Linked DNA regions of Callithrix jacchus. Each later gene encodes a partner of the first gene's protein in a complex. Links are inferred from orthologs where the notes say so. Each region holds a gene or a part of one and is shown on either strand. Other genes may lie near its edges.

What was found.
Region 2: the proteins of CDK6 (region 1) and CDKN2A are in contact, whole or in part, in a crystal structure (PDB 1BI7), measured with the Homo sapiens proteins. The link is inferred for Callithrix jacchus from reciprocal best matches to the Homo sapiens genes CDK6 and CDKN2A. Residues at the interface, in NP_001138778.1 of Homo sapiens: Glu14, Cys15, Val16, Ala17, Glu18, Ile19, Phe28, Lys29, Arg31, Leu33, Asn35, Gly36, Gly37, Arg38, Phe39, Arg44, His100, Asp102, Gln103, Asp104, Thr106, Thr107, Asp110, Lys111, Gln149, Thr154, Ser155, Leu166, Ala167, Arg168; in NP_000068.1 of Homo sapiens: Thr18, Ala21, Arg22, Gly23, Arg24, Glu27, Asn42, Tyr44, Arg46, Gln50, Val51, Met52, Met53, Met54, Gly55, Ser56, Arg58, Asp74, Ala76, Thr77, Thr79, Asp84, Arg87, Glu88, Gly89, Phe90, Asp92, Asp108, Trp110, His123.

Annotation. Positions count from the first base shown.
Region 1 is NC_133512.1:56,783,127-56,791,608, forward strand, and holds the start of CDK6 (cyclin-dependent kinase 6), read left to right. Parts: upstream 1-3,235; 5' UTR 3,236-3,327; exon of another isoform or gene 3,328-6,117; 5' UTR 6,118-6,489; coding exon 6,490-6,722; exon of another isoform or gene 6,723-6,902; intron 6,903-7,252; exon of another isoform or gene 7,253-7,414; intron 7,415-8,482. UniProt on the Homo sapiens protein: Serine/threonine-protein kinase involved in the control of the cell cycle and differentiation; promotes G1/S transition. Phosphorylates pRB/RB1 and NPM1.
Region 2 is NC_133502.1:128,969,286-128,977,857, reverse strand, and holds the start of CDKN2A (cyclin-dependent kinase inhibitor 2A), read left to right. Parts: upstream 1-3,121; 5' UTR 3,122-3,197; coding exon 3,198-3,323; intron 3,324-6,728; coding exon 6,729-7,035; intron 7,036-8,572. UniProt on the Homo sapiens protein: Acts as a negative regulator of the proliferation of normal cells by interacting strongly with CDK4 and CDK6. This inhibits their ability to interact with cyclins D and to phosphorylate the retinoblastoma protein.

The DNA.
Region 1 (8,482 bases):
TTTTTTTCTGCTTAAATGTTATAAGCTACTAGCTTATATATATATTTTTCTCTCATGGCAGATATCAAAATCATTTCAAGTTTCACTGCCCATATGCAATCCAATAGATCACATGAAACAATAAAAAAAGAAAAATCCAGATCATTTCTAAATTGACAGAAATAATTTAAATAGAAGACTGAGCTTTAAAAATCACTTAAAGCTCAGAATTTTACAAAGCAAAAAGTTGATAATACAATTAACTTTTCCTAAGACATTTAGAAAACTTTCAATAATATAGTTTAAGGGAAAACCCAAGAAAATATCTTAGAAATGCCTGAGAAAGGGGAGAAGAATGCATTAAAATGCACTGCATTTATATTATCCTATTTCTGTTTAAATTATAGTTTTTCATAATTAATAAAGAACATTTACACAAACACACAAATCAGGTTAAAAAGTAGGGTAACTTGTTTCAAAGCTAAACTAGAAATGTGTAGTAGGTTATAGAAATATCTCATTTCTGAGTTTCTGAAAAATGTATTTTATAAACTCAAATAACCAATATAAATCAGAAGTGAATTAGACTTAGGTATACATCATGCAATTATTATTTTAAAATAAATTACTCATTTCCTTAACAAGGTTAAAAATTATAGACCAGAATTTAAAATTTTATGTTTGTTTAAGTGAAAACAAAACTTTACAGATATTTGATATACAAATGCTCACACATGAAACACATTCCTTATGTGACACTAATAAGTCTTTCAGTGTAAGTTACACCACCATATTTGGAAATAAGTCCATGAATTCTAATTTTTAAATACCTGTAAGATGATTTGCAACTTTAGAATATCTGATATGTGGTGTGAAAATACTGGTTGGAGTCATTATTCTAGAGTCCTATATATTCATTCTCATAAGACTCCTAAACAAAGAAGTTGGAATTTGGTTCACAGTTCATAAACTTTGAACAAATTTTGTTATGATAACCTGTTACCCACAACAGAAGTTATCCATAAACAAAAATAATCTGGTATTTACTAATTTTATACAATCAATTGTAAAACTTCCTTGGGTCTGAAGCTTTAACCAACTGGGATTTAATGTGAACCATAACCAGGAAGAGTGAACAATAATAAATTAACACAGAAGATAGCAATAACAGGAAAAAAGGACAGAGAGTTAACACTCAGTATTAACATATGTAATTAAAGTTTCATTGTTTTTTACATTGCCCACATCTTCTAGTAACCTAAATCATGGAATTTCTGATCTAACAATGGTTGTTGTCAAATTCAGAAATTAAAAATTCAACCCAGTGTGGAAAAGACACTTCTCTGTTAATTTCAAAGATATTTGTAGCTATTTTTTAAATAAATGATTTATTCAAATAAATTCTAGTCATGATGTGCTGGTTCCTATTTACTGGCGATTATTTCTGGATTATATAAACATGTTAATTACCAGCAAGTGAATCTTGTTTTAAAAAGTAAATAAGTGTGAACAAGTACCAAAATGGAGGATACCCATTTGTGTCTCTGGCTTAAAGTCTAATTAGTGATTTGTAGTCATCTAATATTTTATGTAAATATAAAATCTAATGATTTGCTTTCTTCAATTTATAAGGTATGTGAGATTATAAATAGCTTTACATATGCTCTTAACACAAAATGTATTTTATGAATTATCTTAAGCTTAAAGACATACAATTTTTCACCTTTATTTTTTAGAAAAAATGTATTATAATGCATTGCAAAATATGTGCTACTGGAAATGCATCAATTTTTATTTCCCTAGCCTCACCTCACATTGTAATATAGAATCAATTTTATAAAGGCAAAATTTTGATTTACTGTGAGATTAATAACATGGTTTTAAAGTCAAAAGATTTATAGAAGTAGTATTTCCAACTAAAACAGAATTTTGCAGGGTTTTAATTTTTCTACAAAGAACTGAAGTAAATAATTTTGTGAAAAGTTTTGCTTTTAGATGTTTTAAAGGGTTTCAAGTATTCTACAGATACAGATTTTGGAGAACACTAAATTCTTTCCAAAAAGACAGCTATTTCAAGTTTTCTTTTACTCCATTGTAGAAAGTTTTAAAGACTTTTTTTTTGTCCAAAATCTCATTTTCATCTAAAATAATTGTATTCAAGGGTTTCTCAGCAGGTAAAGTATACATTCTTACCAGGTTTCAAATTTCAGAATTCCAATAATGCATTTAAACTGAGCACCCCTCTTTGTGTGTATGTATCTACTATCTGCAGTTCTATTATTTGCACTACATTTTAGTCTTTTTAGCTCCTCTGAAATACGTTAGTGAACCCTCAGCAGTTACTGACCACTTAATAATTGTGAACCCGCCAGCCCCTTCAAGTAGATCGTTAACCATAAGAGTGCCTGATAATTTCCAAACCATATCCTCTAAAAGGAAAATATAGGGCTTTGTGAGGCCGAAAGGAAGCGAAGGAAAACAAAACAAATGTAGCTCATGCTGAAAGTGAAAAGTGCTTGGACAGATTAGTATTTCTTTTCTGCAAGGCATCCTGCCAAACTTTTTTTTTTTTAATAGAGAAGAGTTAATTTTTGGTCTGATTTTTCAGTTTCTTGTAAAGTATTGGTATTTTCCACCCCCATCGGCCCCTCATAATTATTGTTGGTTGTTTTCTGTTTTTCCCATCCGTCCACGTCACACAGTGAGGATAACCCCCACTTCACCCTGTCAAAACCCCAACTCTTGGAGACCCTGGGTTTGGAAACTCCGCCGACTCCCGACACGTCCCCACTCTCTCCCACTAACGCAGCTTATTTTAGTAGCGGGATCCCCCTACTCCAGTTTCAGTGAAAGCCGGAAATTTTCATTTAACTCCCCCGCCTCCGCCCCGCGCCCTTCTAGCCCCCGACGCGTAGACCGGAGCTGGGGAGCCTGGAGCTCAGAGCCCTGCCGGGGCTCGGCCGCCTCCCCTTTCTCCGGAAAGCTTTAATTTGCACACCAGCTTGCCTCTGCGCCAGGAGCCCCCAGCCCCGCCGAGGGGTGGCTCTCTGGCAGAGCTGCCTTCGTGGGTCCCCGCCTCCCCCGCGCGGTCTCCCACGCTGCCTCCCCGGCTGGGGCCCCCAGCGCCGGCCGGATCCCCGCGGCCCCGTCCGCCCCCAGCGAGTCGCGCGGGCGGCGCCCTCCGCCGTCCCTCCGCCCTCTGCCGCTGTGCCCACCCCCTCGCCGGAGAGTGCTGGTAACTCCTTCCCCAGAGTCTGATTACCTGCTCCGCCAGGCCGTGGACACGTGCGGAGAGCCGACTGACACTCGCAGCCTCCTCAGGAGGCCCGACGCGACTGGGCCCCTCAGGTGAGGAGCCGTGCGCTCGGGTGGGTGGGCTGCGGGGTGGGGGGTCCCGGGGGAGATCTGAGAGATTGGCCCGGGTCCGAGGCATAACTGTGGGTGGGGGTAAGTGGAGCGTGGCGGGGTGGGGTGGGGTGGGGGGGGACCCGTGTTTCCCTGGAATCGGCTTTGGTTAACCCCTTACAAACTGAGACGGGGTTGGTTACGGGGGCCAGTTTTGGGGAGCTAGAGGAATCTCCTGATGAGAGGGGAGATCCCATGCTAGGGACACCCACGACACCGAGATCCTGCTTCCACGTATCCATGCGCACACACACCCACGCAGAACACTCCCCATCCAGTTTCTCCAACGGAACTGGAACTCGACTCGGACACTCACATAATAATTCACATTTAGGGTTTCAAATGCACTGCCTCTGGGGACTCCATGCTGGAAAATGTGCTTCCATCCCCCTATTTCCCCCACCAAAGCTCCCCCTCCAGCTCGCTGAGGTGTGGGTGTGGGCTCCACCTTCCCCTCCACGAGATAAATGTTAACGCAGGCTTCCTGCGGGCGTGTTATGCACAGAAGAGTGCACGCAACCGGCCAGTGCCCAGGCTTGGAGACCCGCGAAGACGCACGTTTGCTTTAGTTTCCAAGTTTACTTTTATACTTTTAAATACTGGAGTTAAACACACGCCCCGCGGTGAGCAACCCTGGTACCGCAGCGCGCCCGACCGTGTGCACATGGGCGCATCTGCGTGTGCGCACACGCGGGAGTCGCGGTCCCCGGTGTGGCCTCTTGTCGCTGTGCTGGTGGCGACCCTTGCGGTGCTTGGCAGGCTTCGGGAGAGGCGCATGAAGGATTTCATTGAGTGTGAAGACAGAGAGCAGAGACAGAAAGCAGAAGGAGGCGGCTGCAGCCTTTGTAGTCGCGGAGGAATGCGGAAATGTTGAAGCACTATGTCAAACTTTTTTGAAATGGGGTCAAGTCACATTCAGCCAGCGTGGGAAAGCAACAACAACAACAAAAAAAAAGTGGAGGAGGGGGGGGGAAAGGCATTGCTGCTCCCGTTTCTATCCGCCGAGGCCGACCTTCTGGGGGGCGAGTAGGGGGAGAGCCGGGGCCGTGCGGGGCCCTGCGGGGGCAGCAGGCACAGTTCCCTGTGGGGGTGGGACGTCCTTCGACGCTTCCTTCGCTGCGGAGCCCGGGGCTAGACTCTAGCGGGAGGGGGATGGGGGAACGGAGGAGAGGCGGGTTGGGCGGCCAGTGGCGGCTCCTCGGCTACCTGTGTGGCCCTCGACCTGGCTCAGACCCCCGGCAGTCCCTGGGGGCTCTTTGCTCGGATTTTAAGTTCTGAATGGAGTGAGTGCCAGAATCTCTGCTCTCGCCGCGGTCCACTCCACCCGCCCACTGTGGGGTCGTGCCGTTTGCTTAAATCCTGGCAAAAGGCAAGCGGGCCAGCAGTTGCGGGCCAGGTAATTCCGAGGTACCCCGGGAATTCTAGACATGCGGCCGGCGTGGCGAAAGTACTGACGAGGCCACGGTGGCCGTGGGGGAGGGAGGCCCCCTGGTCCCAGATAGCTGTTGAGTGGGGAGGAAAGGTTAGGGTACCCTTCTCTGGCGCTTTGTTGTTCACAGGGCTCCGGGGGCGTCTGGCTGCAGACTGGACCTGGCCTTTAGCCGGAGGTGGAATGGGGCAGCCGCCTCCGCTACCTACAGCCGGGAGGTCCTAGGAGTGGGAAGAGGTTCGCGAGTCCGAGCCCCAAAGACACAGACCTTCTCGCTTACCTGGAGGCGCAGGATTTAACCTCCCACCCCCCACCCTTTGAAAGGGAGGTTGAGTTTTGCTCAGGTCGAAATCAGCTTAAAACTTCAGGACCGGGCGCGATTATGCTACCGTCTTCCTGAAGTTATCTTTTAAGGAGACGACAAGCGAAAGTGTGGCGATCCTGTGGGTGACGCCACCCTCGGGATCCTGTGGGTGAGGGGGTCTCCCCTCCCCCAGGGCCTCTCGCTCACCCACCACCGAGTAGCCCCAACCCTCCCAGACCAGATGGCTGGTCTTCCCAAGGTTTCCACCAGGGAGGTCCTCCTCCCAGTCGCAGAGAGAATTTCGTTTCCAACCGGGACTCCTTTACCCCAAAAAGACCATTTGTGTGTGCAAGTCGTTTTTAAATGTCTCCTCGTAGAAAAACTGAAAGTTGAAAGAAAGGAAGCAATTTCTGAGCAGATGTCTGACCACCCCTTCTCGCACACTCCCAGCATCGGGTTACAGGGTCCTGGGAACCCCCACCCGCATTCTGCGGCCCCACACGGATGGACCCACAGTCCTTCCGCTCCAGCTGCGCGCGACCCCTGAAGGTCCTCTGGCACCCCTGGACCCTCTCTCCCTGCACGTTCAGGCCTCAGGAGGTGGGGAGCGTAGCGGCGCAACACAATGATATAGGGATAAATATTAAGCCGTGACATTGACGTGCCCGGCGCCTCCCCTCCCCCGCGCTCCCGGCACACTCTGGGCTGCTCGGCACGCCCCCTCCCGTTCCACTGCGTCCCGCGCCGCGCGCTCATCCCCGAGGGGCCCCTGCAACCTCTCCGCGCGAAGACGGCTTCAGCCCTGCAGGGAAAGAAAAGTAACTTCGCTTTTCTCGGAGGAACCAGGAAGAATTAAGCGGCTTGGGAGAGGGCAGGAGCGCGCGAAGGGTAGCGATGGAGGCTTCGTGAAGGAGGAGGAGGGGAGTCTGGAGGAACCCCGAGGAAGGCTTCTGGGCTGTCTGATTGCACTTTCTTCTTATCCTCCCGTCTCCTCCTTTAGGTGCAATGATTCTGGACTGAGACACGCTCGGACAGATGCTATGTAATCGTCTCTGTCTGTGCTGAGGACTTCGCTTCGGAGAGGAAAGAGGAGGGATCGGCTCGCTTCTACGGCGGCGGCGGTGGCGGCGACTCTGCAGGCGGAGTTTCGCAGCGGCGGCACCAGGGTTGCACCAGCCCCGCGGGGAGTTCGCTCCATCCAGCCTCCGCAGCCTCGAGAGTCCCAGAGCCCAAGCTCCTGAGCCGGCAGGGGGGCAAAAAAAGCAAGACCGAGCTCCCGGGAGCCCCGGAGGAGGCAAGCAGCGGCCGCCAGCTAGTTGAGCGCACCCCCCACCGGTCCCAGCGGCGCCGCGCCAGGCGGCGTCCAGGCGGCATGGAGAAGGACGGCCTGAGCCGCGCGGACCAGCAGTACGAATGCGTAGCGGAGATCGGGGAGGGCGCCTATGGGAAGGTGTTCAAGGCCCGAGACTTGAAGAACGGAGGCCGTTTCGTGGCGTTGAAGCGCGTGCGGGTGCAGACCGGCGAGGAGGGCATGCCGCTCTCCACCATCCGCGAGGTGGCGGTGCTGAGGCACCTGGAGACCTTCGAACACCCCAACGTGGTCAGGTGAGTCCGGGAGCTGCGCCCTAGCCGTCTGGGGCCGCGCGGGCGGAGAGGGCCGAGCCGGGAATCCTCAGGCCCAGGAAGGTTTGGGGCAGAGGGCGACTGGGGAGGTCTGGCATAACCTGTTGATCTTGCAGCGTGAGTTAAGTTTTGGTGACAGAGCCGCGAGCCAGAGCCGGTGACCTTGCCAGACGGGGAGCAGAAAGACAAGTCAGAAAACGTGACGTGCACAGGCTTCCCCACAGCAGTACAACTTAGAAGTGTTTTCTCCCAGCCCGCCCTGAAGGAGGGTCTGGGGTGTGTGTGTGGGAGGGGGGGGGGTGCGTTTTAGGGACAGAATAAGCCAACCCGAGACATGCCCCGCTAGCCCCCGCATGTTTTTCCTGGCCATGCAGTTGGGGAATTTTTAAAAGAGTGAGACTGGAGAATGAGGATGCGGTGTGATAATCAGTGAGAATTTTATGGGTGGAGCCTAGTGTCAATCAGGTTAAGAAGATGCAAAAACATCAGAATATTTTGCCAATCATACTCACAGTTTCTCTTTATTAAAATTTCATAACAAGAATGACTCCTGGTGGTCTAAGGAGTTTGAATGCTGATGCCCAAATTCAAACAGCGTCGTAAAAATTTCTTCCAAAACGGTTATCCCCGTATCTCTGGGCGGACTACTCTCTAGACTAATTCTCCAAAGGGTTAAATGTGAGTCCAAGATGTGGTATGGTTAGATCATAAATGTTCTGCCCATGCTCTTCCCAGATGGGTTGTGCTAGTGGGTGGGGAAACAGTAGTTCTTAGTCTCTCCTGTGTGGTAACCAGTATTAAATGAAAATGTGTGACTTAGGATGATAACGGTGTTTTCTTAGTGATCCTGGAATTTCCCCATTGTGTGGTTGACATTGTTTGGTTGTGTCATCCTTTTCCTTTTTAAACAGAAATGCATTGAAAAGGAATGCCTAGAAACTTCTACAAATTGAATTGTGATTTTACCTTTCTCGACTCGAGATCATGTGTAGCGAAAGATCTTTTTTCTCATCCATCTAGGGCTTCTGTCCAACAAATACATGCCTACTGTGTGCACTGAGGATGAAATTATGTAAATAAGCACAGCTAAATATTTTTGTAAAAAGTCAAACAGTTTAACATTAGTCATCAAAGTGGAGAGACCCAAGACTGACCTTTGAAATACCAAACTCTCTACAGACTCAGAGGGACTAAGTGTCTACAGAATCTTCCTGGGAGGTTATTACTTGTCTCCTCTCATCCCAGGCTGGTGATTTGTGTGGTGCTTTGTTCCCAATGCAGTTAGACTCAAGCTAGAAGGCATCAAAGAATCATAAATACATAAAGAAGGTAGTAAATGGTTATAAAGATAGGACCACATTATACCTCTGCTTTAGCTAGAAAGGAAAGGAAGGACAAAAGATACTGAGACTGCTAGAATGAGTGTTTTTGGAAGATGATATTATATATAAAAGCTATAGATGACTTCTTTAGTGTGTATTTTCTTTGTTAAAAACAGCAAAATACCTTTCGGAGGCTCTTTGTGATATTGGAGGGAAAAGGGGAGGGTACATTTAGCCCCCTGTAACTCAGTTGTCTTCCCAGAGAAATCAGCTAAGTGCATCCCAAAAGATGAATTCCACCGTTACAATTTTAAGACAAAAGTTCTTGTTTTATTTTGTCTGTCACCTGTGAGTGTCCAATTAAGAGTGTTTATCATGTGTATGAATAAATAATGTCCTTCCAACATAGAGGTACTACAG
Region 2 (8,572 bases), on another chromosome or scaffold:
ACTGGGAATGTGGTGGGTTCTTTAAAAGAAAAACTAGGAAAGTTTTCACAGTATTATTAAACTTTACATAAGATTTATAATAGATAATTGACTCAATTTCTAGAGCAAAATGACCCCACCAAAGGATGCCATAATCCTTCCAGAGCTCTTCTGCAAGATATGAGAGTGTATACATATCTAAAGCTTGTTCTTGTTATTTCCAAAGCAGTCAACTTTTACATCTGCATATAATGCATCTAAATGTTTTTGTATCACCGCATCACCCATCTTCTTCACCAATAGCTCAATAAACATACGTACATATACATATCTATGTGTGTATGTGTGTGTATATATACACACACATATATACACACACATACATATATATGTGTGTGTGTATATATATACACACATATACACACACATACATATATATGTGTGTGTGTATATATATATATGTATATATATATATTTCACAAGAGCTATAAGAGTTCTTGATGTAGGAATCCATGGTAGACTCTGAATTCCCTAAAAGTTTTATTCAGAAATACATGTGTAAGTGAACACGTCTTTTTTTAAAAAAAATCACCACCTGCTTTCTTTTTTGGGCAGGTCTTTCAACAGACTCTTGAAGGAGCCTACTTTTTCCACTCTTCCACCCCCATTAAGAATCATTATATTGATAATGGAAATGTGTTAAATGTGTTCCCTCCCTCCCATCCTTCAAACCAATCTTTCTTCCTCCTCCATCATAAAATACCTTAAGCTAAACCAAAAGAATTTTATTTATCGATAGTTTGAATTTTCCATATTATGGCTATACAGATAATTGAGAAGTACCCAAGGAAAATATAAATAGCACAGTAATGCATTGTAGATTTTAATAACATGCTTGAAATCCTACATTGTTTTCATTGGCTTCATTTTTAAAACTATCTGTTTAAAAATCAGGCAGGAACTAAAGTACAAGATATGCTGGGTCTACAAAGTTTAAGTCAACCAGGGATTGAAATATAACTTTTAAACAGAGCTGGATTATCCATAGGAAGGTTAAGCATGTCTTAAGGCATCATCAGAGTCTGAGCAATCCATTTTTTAAAAATACATGTTATTCAAACCTTAAAAAGTAATAGTCACAGTAAAAATTAGAACGTTTACCTCTTTGCACTTGTTATACTCTTTAGTGTTGCTTAACTTTTCATTATAAGTGAGGGTGGTGGAGGGTGCCCATCATCTCCATCATCTTTTCAAGGAGTAAGTTCTTGCTTTTTTTTTTTTTTTTCTGAGACGGAGTTTCACTCTTGTTGCCCAGGCTAGAGTGCAATGGCAAGATAACCACTCACTGTAACCTCTGCCTCCTGGGTTCAAGAGACTCTCCTACCTCAGCCTCCCAAGCAGCTGGGATTACAGGCCCGTGCCACCATGTATTTTTAGTAGAGAGGGGGTTTCACCATGTTGGACAGACTGATCTCCAATGCCTGATCTCAGGTGATCCACCCGCCTCGGCCCCCCAAAATACTAGGATTACAGGCGTGAGCTACCGCGCCTGGCCTTTCCTTTTATATAATAGTGATAATCCTATCCAAAGCCATTGTTTTTTTCTGAGTCGGGGTCTCATTCTGTCACCCAGGCTGGAGTGCGGTGGCTCACTGCAACCTCCGCCTCCCAGGTTCAAGAGATTCTCCTGCCTTAACCTCCTGAGTAGCTGGAATTACGTGCGCCACCATGCCTCGCTAATTTTTGTATTTTTAGTAGAGACAGGGTGTCACCATTTTGGCCAAGCTGGTCTCCAACTCCTGACCTCAGGTAATCCACCTGCCTCGGCTTCCCAAAGTGCTGGAATTACAGACGTGAGTCACCACGCCCAGCTCCAAACCATTTTCTTTTCATGCCTCAAAACAGAATTGCATATAATAAAATTTAAATTAAAAAAAAGCACAGAATTGCAAGCCAATCCTCAAAATGGACAATTCAAGAGATAACAGGTATTATTAGCTTAGGGTATGCGGCACTGTTCTTAAGGTTCATATGTATTAATACATCAATTCATTTAAATTCACAACAACTCCTGTAAAGCAGGGGGCACTCATATTCCCCTACCCCTTTATAACTAAAAAAAAGAATGCAAGGTATTTTCAGTGGGAAGGGGAAATGTGCGTGTGAAGGAGACAGAACAGTGTGTAAAGCTGATCTTTGAATCACTGTGCAACTCTGCCTCTAGAACACTGAGCACTTCTTCTGGTCTAGGAATTATGACTTACTCAGAATGGAATCCGTCCTTCCAGTACTCCCTCCCCATTGGTACAATTCTCCCCTGTCCGTGGCACAATTCTCTCCTGTCGTATTAAGCAAACCTCATTTTTTCAGAGTCTGCCCTTATACCAGGCAATGCACATGTGTGAGAAATCCACGCCCTAGACAGCCGTTTTGCACATAGGAGGGGAAGGGGCAGGGAAGGAGAGAGCAGGCCGACTCTCCAAAAGGAATCCTTTGAACTAGGATTTCTGACTTAGTGAACCCGGCGCTCTCGAAAATCAAGGGTTGAGAGGGTAGGGGGACGCTTCCCAGTCGCACAGGTGATTTTGATCCTCGCTGGGCTCTCACAAACAGAAAAGAATAGTTTTGCTTTTTCTTATGAGTAAAAGAAGAAGCCATACTTTCCCTGTGACTCCAAATACCCTGATTCAATTTGGCAGTTAGGAAGGTTGTACCGTGGAGGAAGGAAACGTGGGCAGGGGGAGGGGTGTGGGGGGTGCGAAATTTCTTTTTGCTCTGAGACGAAAACGCGCGGTTGCTGGGAAGGCGGGGTAGCAAGGCCGGGAGCAGGGCTGCCGAAGGGCGGTGTAGGAGCAGGTGGGGAGGAGTCCAGCCTTTCCTCGCCGCCTCTGGGCTCCGGCGGGCGAGGGCCGCTTCCGGCTGGTGCCCCCGGGGCAGACCCACCTTGGGGCGGCTTCAGGGGTGCCACCTTCGCAGCGAGTGAATAGCACCTCCTCGGAGGACTAGCGAACGGCGCCCCCCCGCCTGGAAAGATATAGCCGTTCCGCCGGAGGAGTCGAGGGACAGCGTCCCGGGTGTTGGGGGTGGGGGCTCTTCCGCCCGCCCTCCCGGGTGGAAGAAAGAGGAGGGGCGGGCTGGTCTCGAGACTGCAGTGCGGGCCGCGAGAGCGCTGCAGGAGCGGAGAGAGGGAGAGCGGGGAGCGAGCAGCCGGGAGCAGCATGGAACCTTCCGCGGACTGGCTGGCCACGGCCGCGGCCCGGGGTCGGGTAGAGGAGGTGCGGGCGCTGCTCGAGGCGGGGGCGCCGCCCAACGCACCGAATAGTTACGGTCGGAGGCCGATCCAGGTGGGTACAGGGCCTGTAGCGGGAGCAGGGGGTGATAGGCGACTCTGGAGGACGAGATTTGCAGGGGAATCAAGTAGCGCTTTTATTCTGGAAAAAGAGAGGCTTCCTGCGCAGTTTTCAGAAGAGGTCTGTAATCAAAGACCTGGTCTTCTGGGGGCCCTGGGAAGCCACGGAAGGATTGAGGAGGCCCGCGCGTGCAGATCTCTGGAATGCTGTAAGGATCTGAAGAGGGGGGAAATATTTGTATTAGATGGAGGTATGCTCTTTATCAGATACAAAATTTACAAACGTTTGGGATAAAACGCGAGTCTTAAAGAAATGTAGGATGTACTGGAACTATTTAGCCCTGAATTCACAGAATCCTGGATGGAGCTTATCTTTCTTGCTAGGAGGTATTATCAGTAATAATCTATCGTGTATGTTGGAATAAATATCGAATATAAATTTATGATCGAAATTATTCAGAAGCGGCCGGCTGCGGTGGCTCACGCCTGTAATCCCTGCACTTTAGGTGGCCGAGGCGGCCGGACCACAAGGTCTGGAGTTGGAGACCAGCCTGGCCAACATGGTGAAACGCCGTCTCTACTAAAAATACAAAAATCAGCCAGACATAGTCGTAAACGCCTGTAATCCCAGCTACTCGGGAGGCTGAGGCAGGAGCGGAGGTTGCAGTAAGCCGAGATCACACCACTGCACTTCAGCCTGGGTGAAAGGGTGAAAGTCCGATAAATAAAAGAAAAGAAAGAAATTATTCCGAAGCAACTACATGTTGTGTTTATTTTTAAGTGAGTAGGGCAAAAATATATGTTTGCTGTAGGAACTTAGGAAATACAGATAGATAGATGCATATAATGAATCACATTCATGTGATCACACCAGATGTAATATGTAGTTACCATTTTGGGATTATCTGCTGACATTTTTGCTGTTTTTGCTATCTTTAGCTTTCTTGATATAATTTATTTGTGATAGAGTTTTAGAGATTTTTCATTTCCTCATTTTTGAAAAGTAGTGTTTCTCCTCTCCCCACTCCAGTTTTGTGAGGGGTTAGGGGATGATTTAAAAGTAATTAATGCCTGGGTATCTTTGCATCTCTAAAATTGTAACAGCAGCTTGGACCTGGAAGTTTGGCATTGTAGCCCTAAAATATTGTAGAAGAGACCTTATTTGTTTATAAGCAAAAAGGGAAAAGAAAAGTGGATAGTTTTGACAATTTTTAATGGGGAAGGGAGAAGAACATGTAGAAAAGGGGAAATGACGTTGGCTTAGAATCCTAACTACATTGATGCTTAATATAGAAACTTATTTGTATAACATTTTTAAGTACTAAATTCATATTAATTTCTTATTAAATGTGTTTAAGCATCCTACACATTTTCATTCAATTGATTCATTTTCTTTTTGCTTTGGATTTCTATCATGATTTAAATAATTACATATGGGTTACTTTTTAGATTTTTCATACTATGAAATATAAGAAAAACCATTAAGACTAGTTTTATGACCGAAATGAAGGACTTCATTGAACACACAAAACAATAAATTTACTGCAATATTTTGTCTTTTTGTAGCTGCAATTTGGTTTCTTGTACTTTCTCTTTGTCTCCTTGAAAAATAACTCAGTTTCACTTTCTTAGGACAGGATTTAGTAACTACAGTATAATTTAGTATAATTCTTTGATTTAGGCAAATTATACAATTTGTGTTTAATACAAAATGTGCCTAAAAATAAATAATTCTTCTTTATAACACCACCATCCTCAAGCTGATATAACAAATAACAGTTATCTCAAAATAAATTATCTGCTTCTACTATCATCTACCACATAATACTCAAATTTTAAGGTTGCTATGACTGCAGACAGTGTTTTAAAATTCCTCTTTGGAAATGGCTTTGTTTTCAAGATGATTTAGGAACCAAAGAAGTGACCATCTCTTATTTAATGAACTCTCAAATTATAAACCTGGAAAGTGTTTAAGTTTCCTATTGCTACTGTTACAAATTATCACAAATGTAGTAGTAAAGCAAACACAAAATTATTATTTTATAGTTCTAGAGATCAGAGGTCAAAAATGGGTCCACAGTGCTGCATTCCTTTTGGAAACTCTAAGGCAGAATCTGTTTTCTTGTCTCTTCCAGCTTCTGGTGACCATCAAATTCCTTAGATCATGGCCCCTGTATTTTCTCTCTGGCCTCTGATTCTAATATTTTCTCTCTGACTGTGACCCTCTAATAAAAACACTTGGGGTTATGTTGGGCTTACACTGAAAATTCCAGATAATCGCCCTCATGACCATTAATTCAATCACATCTACAAAGCCTCTTTTGCCACCTAAGGTAATATATTAACAGCTGTTGAGGATTGGGGCATAGATATTTGTGGGGACAGGGCATTATTCAGCCTACGACAGAAAGGAATTTTAGGACTAATTAAGACTAGCCATCTTGTTTTATATTTGAAGGAATTGAAGTTTTGGAATTGGAGAGCATTGTGCTAAATGAAATAAGCCAAACACGGAAAGACAAATATCACATGTTCTTACTTATTCGTGAAATATAAAACAATTTAATATTTCGAAGTAGAGAGTAGAATGGTGGTTACTGGAGCTCGGGGAATGGGAGGAATAGGGAGGTGGTAATCAAAAATACAAAACCTGGGTTAAGATGGGAGGAATAAGTCTGACTCGTTTTTTTTGAGATGTGTTTCACAGCATGATGAATATGGCTAAATAGTATATCTCAAATGCTCTCATTTGACAAAAATGTCAAATGTTTGAGATGATGGATAGGTTAATTAGCTTGATTTAATAATTCCCCATTGTGTTCAAAGATTATAACATCATATTGTACCACATAAATATATACAACTATAATATGCCAATATACAATTTTAAAACTAATATAAGAAATTGAGGTTCAACATTCCCAGAAGCTAAGGTAACTTAAAAAGTTTTGTGAAAATGTATTTTTTTTTTAAAGTTTTCTCTTTTTAACAATTACCACATTCTGCGCTTGGATATACAGCAGTGAACAACAACAACAGAAAATCTCCAGGCCTAACATAATTTCAGGAAGAAATTTCAGTAGTTGTATCTCAGGGGAAATACAGGAAGTTAGGCCTGAGTAAAAGTCAGTTTGTCCCTGCCCCTTTGCTGTTGTCCTTGTCTCACAGGGCTCTCTGCCTATGGCTACAGCTCCGCACAAGTTCGCAGAATATAATGGAATTTAATGTGTACTGAAGAATGGATAGGCGAACTGTAAAAGAAAATTGGAAATTGGAAGCAAAAGTAGGGTAATTAGACACCTGTGGCTTGTCTGGGTGTCTGCTTGGCGGTGAGGGGGCTTCACATTGGCGTCCTTTCTGTCCCCTACCCCGGCTCTGACCACTGTGCTCTCTCTGACAGGTCATGATGATGGGCAGTGCCCGCGTGGCAGAGCTGCTGCTGCTTCACGGCGCGGAGCCCAACTGCGCGGACCCCGCCACTCTCACCCGACCGGTTCACGACGCTGCCCGGGAGGGCTTCCTGGACACGCTGGTGGCGCTGCACCGGGCCGGGGCGCGGCTGGACGTGCGCGATGCCTGGGGCCGTCTGCCCGTGGACCTGGCTGAGGAGCGGGGCCACTGCCACGTTGCAGGGTACCTGCGCGCGGCTGCGGGGGGCACCACAGGCAGTAGCCCTACCCGCACAGATGCCGCGGGAGGTCCCTCAGGTGAGGACTGGTGATACAAGAATTTGTACCCGGAGAGCTTCCAAAGCTCGGAGCATTCCTTTTCCAGAAGAGAAAGTTCAGCAGGGGAGACCAGTCTCAGGTCTCGCCTCAGCTCACGTGCCAATCGCGCCAATCATCAGACAACCTGAGTCTCCTGATCGCGCTGCCGGGCCAGGGTAGCAAATGGGAAATAATCACAACAGGGACTTTCGCATGTGAAAGCCCATTCTGTAAATTATACCTCCCAAAGTATACCACCACCCAAACACCTACCCTCTCATGGTTTAAGGCCTAGATTGTGGAGCATTGAAGACTCAAGAGGCTAGAGAAAGAGTCTCCCTCTTCCTCCAAACTAGGGCCAGTTGCGTCCACTTACTGGGTCTGGTTCCTCATTTGCATACCAAGGTAACTGGACCAACTCTAGGATTTCCAAACCCAGTTGTGTGTGGCACCATCTGGAGATCGCTGAATCTCAGCTCTACGACACAACTCAACTAATCCGACCCTCCGCTTTACGCGGTAGAGTTTTCCAGAGCTGCCCCGGGGGGGTGGGGGTGGGGTTCTGTGGGTATCAGGACCAAAACTTCGCTGACCATGGCTGACTGTGCAGCACTCTGGCAGACAGAGACCCTCTCCTTTTCCTCTTAAACTTGTGTAAGAAGATCGCTGAGCGATGAAGATAGAATTGTGGTTCTCCTTGCCTTTGCTTTTTGCGATCTCAAAGCATCCTCCCTCTGCCCCCATTCCATGGCCTCAGTTTTCTAACCCTCACAGCTGTCTGCTGGAAGTGCCAACATTACTCAGTTGTTTCTGGAGGGGGAGCAGTTTTTTAAAAAACCAAATAGATATATGAAGCAATACACGGGAATTAATACGGATATTTAAGGTAAAACATGACCTTGAAGATTTTGAAATCCATCTTTTTGGCCCAGAATGGGGAACTGGGCTCCCTGGGCCATAGGGGAGCCTGGGTGGAAGAGTTGGAGAGTTACCTCTAAGCCCTCTGCTGGGGGATGCTGTAAATACTGAATGCAAAATCACCTTCCAAGTTGAAGATGCAAAGTTCTCCTTTACTCAGCCCCTCTTCCCCACCATTCCCGGGCTTTGCCTCCGGTTACAGCTTGCAGCCTGGTCCGCGTAGAAAGAGCGCGCTTCCAGGGCTGAGCATAAAGCTGGAGGAGCCCAGTGGGAGAAGGAGTAAAACTATTGAATTAAGCCACAAGCTAATAAATAAATTGAGACTCTTAATAACCAAACCGAAGATATTTAATCCAAGCACACAAGTCTTTCATACCTTCCTTCCTCCCTTCCTTCTCTTTCTCCCCAACACCCCCTTTTCAAGCACAATTAAATCTATGGTTAGATTCTACTTCGTGATCAACCATGTTCTAGGCGATGGGCACGCCAAGGTGAATGAGACAAAACGGGAGTCTTGCCCTCATGATGTTTACATTTGGAGACAGGGTCGATCTGTTGCCCAACCTGGAGGGCAGTGTCGCGATCACGAGTCACTGCAGCCTTGACCTCCCTGGCTCAA